Linked DNA regions of Drosophila melanogaster. The gene in region 1 interacts genetically with each later gene. Each region holds a gene or a part of one and is shown in the gene's direction. Other genes may lie near its edges.

The links.
Region 2: of tai (region 1) and Pvf1, changing one enhances a phenotype caused by changing the other (phenotypic enhancement), as found in Drosophila melanogaster (one study listed by BioGRID).

The regions. Positions count from the first base shown.
Region 1 is NT_033779.5:9,164,622-9,169,888, forward strand, and holds the start of tai (taiman), read left to right. Parts: upstream 1-2,156; 5' UTR 2,157-2,817; intron 2,818-5,267. Other genes in the region: CG13108 (uncharacterized protein), read left to right, coding at 1-227, 399-599; CG9586 (uncharacterized protein), read right to left, coding at 979-1,251, 1,322-1,543, 1,602-1,763.
Region 2 is NC_004354.4:18,830,546-18,835,689, forward strand, and holds the start of Pvf1 (PDGF- and VEGF-related factor 1), read left to right. Parts: upstream 1-2,136; 5' UTR 2,137-2,401; intron 2,402-5,144. Other genes in the region: CG7101 (uncharacterized protein), read left to right, coding at 118-598, 678-1,255.

The DNA.
Region 1 (5,267 bases):
CCAGCACTTCAAAGCGACCCCAGAGTCTGCCGCCCAAGAAGCAATTTGTTAAGTTAAGCCAACTGGATTTGCTGGTAAAAAAGTCTGATCTTATGGAAAACGACTGGCTAAAGAACAATCGCTTGTGTCTGTGGCGCAAAGATGAACAAACGAATCTGCTTCAGAAGTATCTGCGGGTCAAGTCGGCTGCCGAGGAGGAGGAGCTGCTCTTTACCTCCAGTTCTGTAGTGAGTGGATTATTTGTATGACAATGGTGGTCACATACATGATATACCAATGTATACTTAATCAATTCAAGTTATTTGCATCAATGTGATAATTTCAATATACCTCCTGTGACCTCCTGTGTTTATAAATAATTATCAATAAGCATTCTATTAATATACTTAATTTTGCAGTATTCCAGTTGGGATGATCAGCAGACGAGCGACTTCATAGAGGTCAAAGTCAACTGCTTGGATCCCAACAACAGACGTATTAAACTGCACGATCTGGAGGCGATTAAGAAAATCTCCGTGGAACTACAATCAGAGCGAAATAAGAAAACGACATCGGACAAAGAAGATACTTTGGAGGCGGAGGAGGATAAGCAAAATTAAGCTGATTCTTAAAAAAAAAACAACTACTAATTATACACAAAACTAACATTTTCATTAGTATTTACAACTAGTTGGCCAAGTTAGGGTTAAACAACAAATTTCCTTGTAACAGCTATGTGAAAACAGCATTAAATTTAATTTAGAAAATTAAAGAAACTAAGAAAAAAAAAGGAAATCAAAAGGAAAACATTTGAAAATATCAAATTAAAATCTTGGCGTTTCAATTTTAATACATTTATATTCAACAGTTCGGTAGATCTCTTCAAAGTTTACTTCGCTTTAGGCAAACATGCAAACATTCAAGCGAAATGCACTTTGTACAGATTTGTTGTTTGTTGTTTTTAATAGAAAGAGTCTAAAAATATTCGCTTGGGGACGGTTATCGACGCCGTTCGCCTTTGACGGTTTTGCGTTTCTCCTTCTTTTCCTCGCGCAGTTGCTTTTGCTTTTCCCGATCCTCTTTGTCCTTTTGCTTTTTGGCCGCACTATCCATTCGGGCCTGCTCCCGCTTTTCCTTGGCTAGCGCCTGGACATCCGATTTGTTGGTATTCTTGGTGAGCGTTCCACTGTCATCCTCGCTTTCCGCCTCGGAATTCTCGTCGTCCTCGTTGGCAACGGCAGTCTGCAAAAAGATTGGCATTGTCATTAGATACTAGATACTTCTACTTTAAAGCTAGTAATAGATATCTGGAATCAGCAGCTTGGCCAGCATGGATAGCAACCTGGGAGTATTGAGCTAGAATCTGCTGCTTGATGCGACGCTCCTCTTCGGTGTATTCACGCTCCTTGTTTACGGCGGGTTGCAGCTTCTGTTGCTCCAGCAACTTGGCCAACTGGGCATTCACATCGATATCCAGACCTTTTTTCGGCGGATCATCGGCGCTGGGATGGCTCTGTAGCCACTTTTGTAGTATGGTGGCCACCAGTTCGTCAATGTTGGCGGACTGCAAAGATCACGGACCATAATTTATGTAGGCAATGATATTACTAACCATAACTTACACCTGTTTCGCTGAGAATTCCCTCGAGAGCCTCGGTTTTTTCATCTGTCGTTTCGTCGCCCTCCAAAATTCCAATAATATACGAACCGAAAACGTTCTCGTCGGTGTTCAATTTGCGCAGCTGCTCGTTGAGCCAGCTCTGGAAGTCATCCGTGGCGCTCATGGTTACTCGGTATTTGATTTAAATATCATGTATAGAGGATTTTATTTGCGGAATAAACTCTGGCAGTGACAAATCAGCCGCAAAAGGCAACAAAAAAATTTGTGGAGCATGTGGCGCAGTGTTGGTGAGCGTTGACAGCGGAACAGCTGCTGCAGTAGCACTGCCAACTGACTGGAAAAAGAAAGTTTAACAGAAAATACAATCATTTTACTGAAATAGAATTTTTAGAAATAGAATATTATATATATTAGGTAAATTCACAAGTTTATTAATTGGTCTTTCTATTTTAATAATTATTATTTACATTAATATTTTCCAAACTTGTTGCTGGCAACACTGACACCTGAACACTACTGTTAGCCAACTGTTAACTACCAGCGAACAGCTGTTGCCGCAGTGTTGGTAAATACCCGCACACCTTTTAGTTGTTTGCCGATTAAAAAATTACGCTTTTTGTTTGAAAACGAAATATTAACTGCTGTGCTATTGAAACTCTGTCAGAATTAAAAGATATTCTATCTGGCCTGCCATCTCTTATTGTCATACAACAAGAAGTCTTGTGACACAGCTAAAGGCGTGAAATGGATCAATTAAACTTATAAACAAATTGTTTGTTTCTTTTGACTGAAATACTTGTACGGTTTTGTGCGTAAATGTGCGCTCGTGTGTGTGTGTGTGTTACCTATGCGTTCGTGTGTGTTTGGTGATTTTCTGATAACTCACATCGCAGCAAACAGCGAAAGCAAAAGCAACAATAACAAATTGCAGCAACAACGTCACACGTCTGCGACACCTGCGTCGCTGTCGCCAAAGTTGTGTTGTTATTTTTACTGTTGCTGCTGTCGCCGCTGTCGTCGCCATCGGCTTTTGTTTATTTGTTGTTGCGTCGCGTCGTAAAGAAGGAAAAGCGCCCACACACACACACAACACACACACAATCGCGCGTGTGCCGTTGGCAACAAGTGGAATATATACAAACGAAATTCATACAACCCCATGTTAGTGCGTGATTTACAAGAGGCAGAGAGAAATCCCTTCGATAAGTTAACCTGAGGTTAGTGATATCCATCGGAAAATACATACATATGTACAATCATACATATGTATGTATGTATGCCAGTTGTGGCAGGTCTGCGATTTCATAAATTGATTGATTGTCAAAATAAGACGTGCTAATTGATAACGATATCATATATAAAACCATCTCCTAAGAATATTTTTTTTCGAAAATAAGTAAAATTAGTTATTGCCTTAGGATTTACATATATTTATGTGTTAGGCATGTGTTATAAATTATTCATTAATTACAAAAACAAATAAATTATATAAAATTAAGATGATACATTTTTGAGATACCTTTATGTTTGCGCACTTTTGAAGTGCTTTGGAGTTGCCTGTGTGATCTCTGGCTCCCCTCCTGCCAACATTGAGTTGGCTCCTGCCACATTCTTGGCATCCTGCCGCCCACAAGGACCTCCGCCCACTTTGCTCCTTCGCCTATCGACTTGCGGCGGCCGCAACCCGAGTTGTGTTGACTGTTTTTTTTTAATGAGCCAGGTTTGTTTATGGGCTTGTTAATGTGAGTGTTTTACACTTTCCAATCCGTGTGCATATTCATGCGAGCGCTCCTCGGCGAACGCCTCTGTGTTTGTGGTATGCATAATAAAGGCCATTAAAATTAAGTAATTGACGCTGGCAGCGAGCAGACGACACCAGAAGGGGGAGGGGGGAAGGCAGGCGGTCTTGACTGATTCAGCGGCAGCGGAAAGGTGAAAACCGGAAAAATGAAAAGCACGGCAAAACGAAGAATGTTTCGGCCTAAAATGTACATACATATATAAAACCTCAGCTTTTCGTCATCTATCTCGCTCTGTTGCGTACAATTCGCGCTCTCTCTTTCCCAAAATGCAGAATTCGTCATTAAATTGGAGACCCATTTAAGTTTCAGCGAGCTCATAAAATTCACACGTTTCATTGCTTGCGATTTTGCAATAAAGCACAGTGGGATCAAATACCATAAAACTAAAAAAAAAAATTAATATAAAATGTTTGAACCGTTAATGCTGTTATGTTTGTATATAATATACAAAAATACTCATTACTTTCCTTGCCTTTCATGTTTTTGAATTCATTGTTATTTCCTTTTTAGGCCCACTGTGCGCATTCTTCTTTTGGGGGTTCCTTGTGTTTTACGGCTCTTTTCAACTGCCAGTTGGTAGTTGGTGGACACGCCCTCGCCCATAAGAATTTCTTGTTCGCTGGTTTATGGCAGATTTGCTCGATGGCTCTGCTTTTGGCCCGCTGCAGTGGGCCAAAGTCATGGCCCTAATTGTGGGAATGAATTAAATTGATTTCCATATCATAAACCCAGGCTTGCGGCCAGGCAATCAAATGGAAAACGCAACAAGTCAATGGCAGAAACAAAAAAAAAACAATTTGGCAGGGAATTTATATGTGAAGCTGCACTTCACATAGCAAAATCAATTCAACAACGTGGGGTGGTTGGTCTTTTCGAGGATGCCACGGGGCGCTTATCCTGCAAAGTGCTTTCCATTCTTGTGGCTCGTGGAATTTTCCAGGACCACCCACAGTGAAAGCGAGAGCTAATTCCGTATGGAGTGGCGATGGCTGCTTGGTGGGGCGTGTGGCTGTGATCTCTATAATACCATTGCTTATTTAGTTTGCCGCTGGTTCCGTGTTGTGTGACTGAAAACATATGCGTGCTTTTTGTATTTCGAATTTAAGTATTTAGTATTTGCTGCATGCGCTTTAAATTAAGGTGAGCTATGGAAAAATGTGAAAATTTATCTGATCATTGAATTTTTAATAAGAAAAAAGAGGCGGCATGTATTGATGGAAACTGTACTGTATGCCATACAAATTTGTTATTATTTCTTTATTATTCAAGTGAGTTGCTAACACTTATTCAAAATGAAGTTCTTCTCATTTTGCTGCAATTCCTCAAAAGATTAACTTAAATAACAACCATGAAGTATATATATTCTTATTTCACGAGAATTCATTAAAATATCTTTCCAAACTATAGAGCTGTGATAAGGGTTTTCTGTTATCTTAAGGAATCTATCTGTTACATTCCATTTGATTTTCGTCTCCTGAAGGGTTCATCTCTTCCAGTTGGGATGCTAAGTAGCTCCCTGGGTTTCCAAACCCAGCCCATTTGCCCCGGAGGACATCGCCTGGCACTCAGTAATGTGATTGGAAAGGCTTCGTCGGCTTGGGCTGCCAGTTGGATACCACGATGGTAGGTGGTAGGGGGGATCACCATGGGCGGTTGATGGATTCCATTCACTGTGCCCTCTCGTATCCACTTAACTATTTCGTTGGATTGGGGCACGTTGTTGTTGCTACAGCAGCTGCCGCTGCCGCTGACATTTTCATTTTGCTACAGTAGGGCTACTGTTTTTCCCGCTGTCGCTTTTCCTTGTGCGCTGTATCATTGCCATGTCGTTGACAAATTGTCTAGATGAATGGAAGTGTGGGTTC
Region 2 (5,144 bases), on another chromosome or scaffold:
CACACTTTTGGCTTCCCGGCACTTGCGGTCAATCGATAACAAATCGCGCCTTCCGATATCGATAGTCAGCGAGCAGTTTTGCTTGTAACAACAATTTTAATTGGACAAGCTAAAATTATGGAACCGGTGCCCATCCGGCCAAAAGCGCCGGGAGCGAGCAACCGCGGAGCCCTGCCGCTGGCGGCGAAGAAGCCGGCCAAGAAGCGTACGTACCACTGCGGCGTTTGTTTTGCGGAGTTCTCTCGTCATCTGGCCGCCAAGCGGCACGAGCAGCAGTGCTCCGTCAGGGTGAGGCGTCTTTTCGTCTGCCCCCACTGCCTGACGCTTTTCGGCGAGGAGGCCCGGCTGGAGCGGCATCGGGAGCGAAAGCACAACGATGGCCAGTTCCTGTGCCTGCAGTGCGGCAAGAAGTACGCGTCAGCCACGTTTCTTTACCGTCATGTTGCCAGTTGGCACGGCCAGCAGTCGCTGTTCTACTGCGACATGTGCACGGACAACTGCAACGACGTTAAGACCTTTAGCGGGATGCTGGAGCTGCAGGAGCACGCCGAGGAGGTGCATCGCCTGCGTACCCTGAAGTCCACGGCCAGTGATGCAGGTAGGTATTCTGCTTACGAGTAGTTGTGATGTTAATGGCATACCCTGCTTAATAATACTATTCAATCCGATCCCTGCAGACAGCCAGGTTGATGAAATGGAGGATCTTGAGATGCTAGAGGAGAACATTGAGAACATACTGCCCAGCATCGACTGGGACGACGATCTCACCTTTGGCTGGCCCACCGACCTGGACAAGGAGTCGTGCATTGTGAACGCTAAGCCGAGCGTTTTCGTGTGTCCCTTCTGCGCCAACGGATTCCCCGGCAGTCTGAGCCTGGTGCGGCACCTGGAGCAGGTTCACGAACGCAGTGCCCTGGACTGCTGCTACTGTGGCAAGAGCCATGGCAGCCGAGAAGCCCTGCGGTCCCATCTGCAACGTGTTCACATCCTCTTGCGCGGTCATGTGTGCGGTATTTGCCAGGCGGACTTCGCCACTGCTGATCACCTAAAGAAGCACGTTAACAGTCTGCACCTGGACCACCGACCGCATCTGTGTCCCACGTGCGGAAAGAGATTCACCCAGCGGTGCCACCTCACCGATCACATAAAGACGGATCGCGGCCATGGACACGGCACTTACACCTGTGAATTCTGCGTGCGGCCCTTCTTCCGGGCCATCGATCTCGAACGGCATGTGTGTGAGGAACATCCGTAGGGCAGTCAACCTAGCCGGAATCGTAGATACCTGAGCGACATCTCACGTCCAGAACTACGATTAATATATACTTAAGCAATGGATAAATGTAACGTTTTAATAGCGTTAATATTTTGAATTTATATCCTAGTCATCGGAAATGTTTTTCCAAACGAACTTGAATTTAAAATCGTATTTTATTTTTTGCTGTAAAATTAATGCTTATGAGACGATTTACATTTACATCTTAGGAACTATAGACATAAGCGAATAGTTACTTTAATATAGCAAGCAGATGGCTGAAAGACAATGTACTTATATGAATAAAAAAATATCAATACATGAAGTCAGGTTAATAGAAACGGGCACAATTGAAATATTTTCTAAGGAAAGTTTGAAAGAATGAAAGATTGCCTAAAGAAAGTTTACAGATTATTGCTGCGTAGTGTTAACATAATGTAAAATGTCACACTAAAATGAATACTTTGAAAATAACGATGAAATAGTGCAGCTTTATGAGTAATATTTATCATCACCACAACACTGATTAATCAGATAATATACTCCATTTCCACCAATAGACAGATAATAGAATGTAACATATGTATTGTTCATGTTGCTCTATATATATTTAAATTTAAAATCTCAGCGAGCCTCCTGAGCGAGGGTGTGCGTAAGTCGAGATCGCGCTCTCCCAGCGTTAACTGTTAACAGTGAAACCCATCCGCTCCGCTCCAGGCCCCAAGATCGGGAGAGTAATGAGCGGAGCGGTTCGGTTCGGATTGGATGTGAGTGTTGCGGTACAGAGCGGAGAGCGCAATGCTGCGACAGCTGGGTACTGTTACTGTTACTGCAACAGTTACTGCTACTGCTATTGTTATTGGCGACTGTGGTGATAGGGGCGCAGTAACTTGGCCCACACCGACGAGTCGACAGTTTTGAACGGAACTTGCTGGTGCTTGGATCGCAGCTCCGCCGATCTCCGCGAGGCTAACACCACAAACTTAAACGCGCTCAAATATATATCACAAATTATTAAATACAAAACCCCCCATTTGTGCACACATATTTTTTGTTGTTTGTTTTTCGTTTCGTGCTAACCGATTTGTGCCATTGAACTTCGTGTAAAACATAATATTTAGAATTTTCAAGCCGTGTTTCCATAAAGTAAGTGGTGCTTCTCAAAATTTCAACATTTCAACACAAATCAGCAGCGTAAACAAACAAGCCAGCGACCCTCGACTACATCTAACATTTAAACTGAAACTGCTTTTTGTTATTGTTTATATGGTTTTCCACTTCTGCCCCACTAAAGCCGGGCCTTTTAAAAAGCTCTCCACAGCGCACAGCCTTTTGTTATATATATGTTTTTTTTCCCCAATAGCTTTCGAGCAAAACCAGAACACCATTTTATCATTAACAAATGCAAAAAAAAAAAAAACCAAACAAAACAAAAAAGTACAATTGCAATTAACGTTTTTTGATCTGGCTGTTGAGTTATTCCAGTGGCTGTGTGGAAAACCCAGTGAAAATGTTGCGCTTGAATTCCTAAAAACAAAGTCTAAGCCGGGCTTAATCGTTATTCAAATCAAACTACGTCAAATCGCGTGCGAATATAAGATTTGTGAATCACAAATGAAAGTGAACTTGGCTTAAATGTAGTCGCTGCCTTAAACTGCAATATATCAAGTTGTTTATGATCGAGTTATTGCGGATAAATCGTCAATAAAGTTCAATAAACTAATGCTGGCAATGTGTTCAAAGTTCCTGTTTTTTTTTTTTTTTTTTTAATTTATAACATTTTAGAACAAAAATGCCATTTTTAAGAAATAATTTATTTTGAAATGCACATTTGCGGGTTTTCATTAAAAGAAAACACGTTTAATGATAATGTTTGCTCACAAAAGTCACACATTATATATTATGTGATGAATATTAAAATATTATAGTAAACGTTTCTAATTATAACGTATATTGTATGAAACAACTGGAGAACTTTGATATCCTAGAAAGGAAACTATACCTTGAGCAAGTGACACCTTCACTAAACTTAAAAAAGAAAACAATTATTTTAGATATGCCCTAGTTTTTTAAAAACTTGTTCATATTTCCGCCTTCCAAAAGTTGAAATCGGTTAATCTTAGACTCGCATTCCAGACGTCGCCGTTGACCCGATCCCTTTGGGAGCCCTTTGGGAGCAAATCCATAATTTATCTTGTAGAGCTTGTAGAACCCACTGCCCATTGTCCATTGCCCATTGCCCTCCTGTTGGTCCAAGTTTTGTGTTTTCTTGTTTGTTGTTTGCTCTACTGCTCCCCCGTCTACATGGGCCCATGGATGCAGTGGAGTTATTATCATGTCTATATTGTAATTGATTTGCCTGAGCGAATGACCAGACGGGAAGACAAGCTATGGGCCTGTTCCCTGATCTGCCACGCCTCCGCCCGCGCCGCGCCCGCGGTCTTATCATTAACGCTTGAGTCTTCCTTTTGTATTGGAATTCTTGTGCGGGGAGCAATTGCCTGGCGGGAGGCACTCCCTTCGCGTAATTAAGGACCGCCCAAGTGGGGATCGCGATTCCGAGATGATTCCTTTTGGTTCCTCGCCTTCTCCTCCTTGAGATTACTTGATATGATTTGATATCTTCGGGTGACGCACCGGGAAGGAATGCCTCGAAAGTGTGAGAATAAATACAGCTGACACCTGCGCAAACTAAATACAGATCATATGGGTATCGTCTATCGACTATATGATACCTGAGGCATGGATATATGCATATGATAGCCTTATAAGTTTAATATTCCTAAAGAAAGCTTGTAAACAGTGGCTTGATTGCGTTTTTTGAAACTAAATGCTGATCAGATTTCGCCAAAGTTAGCATACCTTTTTTTAGTACAGGGTACTAAAAGCAATCAGTATGAGGAGTAACAAAAGCCTGTCGCTTTCGCAATAAGTACATATTCGCATTCATATATATAATTTAAAAACGTGCTTAATTTTGTAATCTGCCTTTCCCCCTTACCACTACTCCCATCTATCCGTCTCCCTGTGGTCGATCTGTAATATCTGCGCTGACGAAATGCCTCAGTAGCAACAACAACAAAAACAACAACAACTGATAACTGATAACTGACTAGACGCACAAGTTAACCGTTGAATCGGGTTAAAGAGACCTTCGATGTGACAGGTTGTGCAATCACCAGCGGCCCACCCGTCGAACGAACATCCTATAGAGGTTTTAAGAATCTGCATTATATTTTGAATCTTGTTTTCAGTTTGTAAGATCTATTGAAATTCTTTGCAGATAGATTAGTAAATTACTTGATATCTTTTTAATTCCAATTGAAAATTATTCCGAAACTGTTAAGCTAACAGCTGTTACTCCACACAAAGCTTGTGCAGCAGCCGCCAAAAAAAAAAATAAAAACAGAGCAACAACAACAAGACGGCACAGAGGAATGTCAAGATGAATCACACAGGTGTGCGTGACACCTGGCAACAGAGAAAGAGAGAGGGAGGGAGAGCGATGAAAAGAATAACAACGTTTGGTCTGTCATATCAATCGGTATTTGCTTAACTGTTAAAAAGAGCCAAGAAATGTAAGGAAAACAGAAAGGAAAACAATGATAGCTGAATTCCGTGTGCGTGTGTGTGTGTTGATTGCAGCCCACAAATAAACACTTGTGCACCCATTGCACCTAAAACGCAAGTGCAGAAACATACACACAAATTGAAACTCCCGAGGAGTACCGTTACAAGGCGAGCTTAAAGCTATTTTTAACACCATCCGATCTTGCTCTCCTTCCCCACCCCTTTCCACACCCCTCTTACCCATTCTGCTATCTCCTTTCCTGTGTTGTTTTTTGCACCACTTCTCACTTTGCTTTTCTTCGTCTTGCCCTCATACACT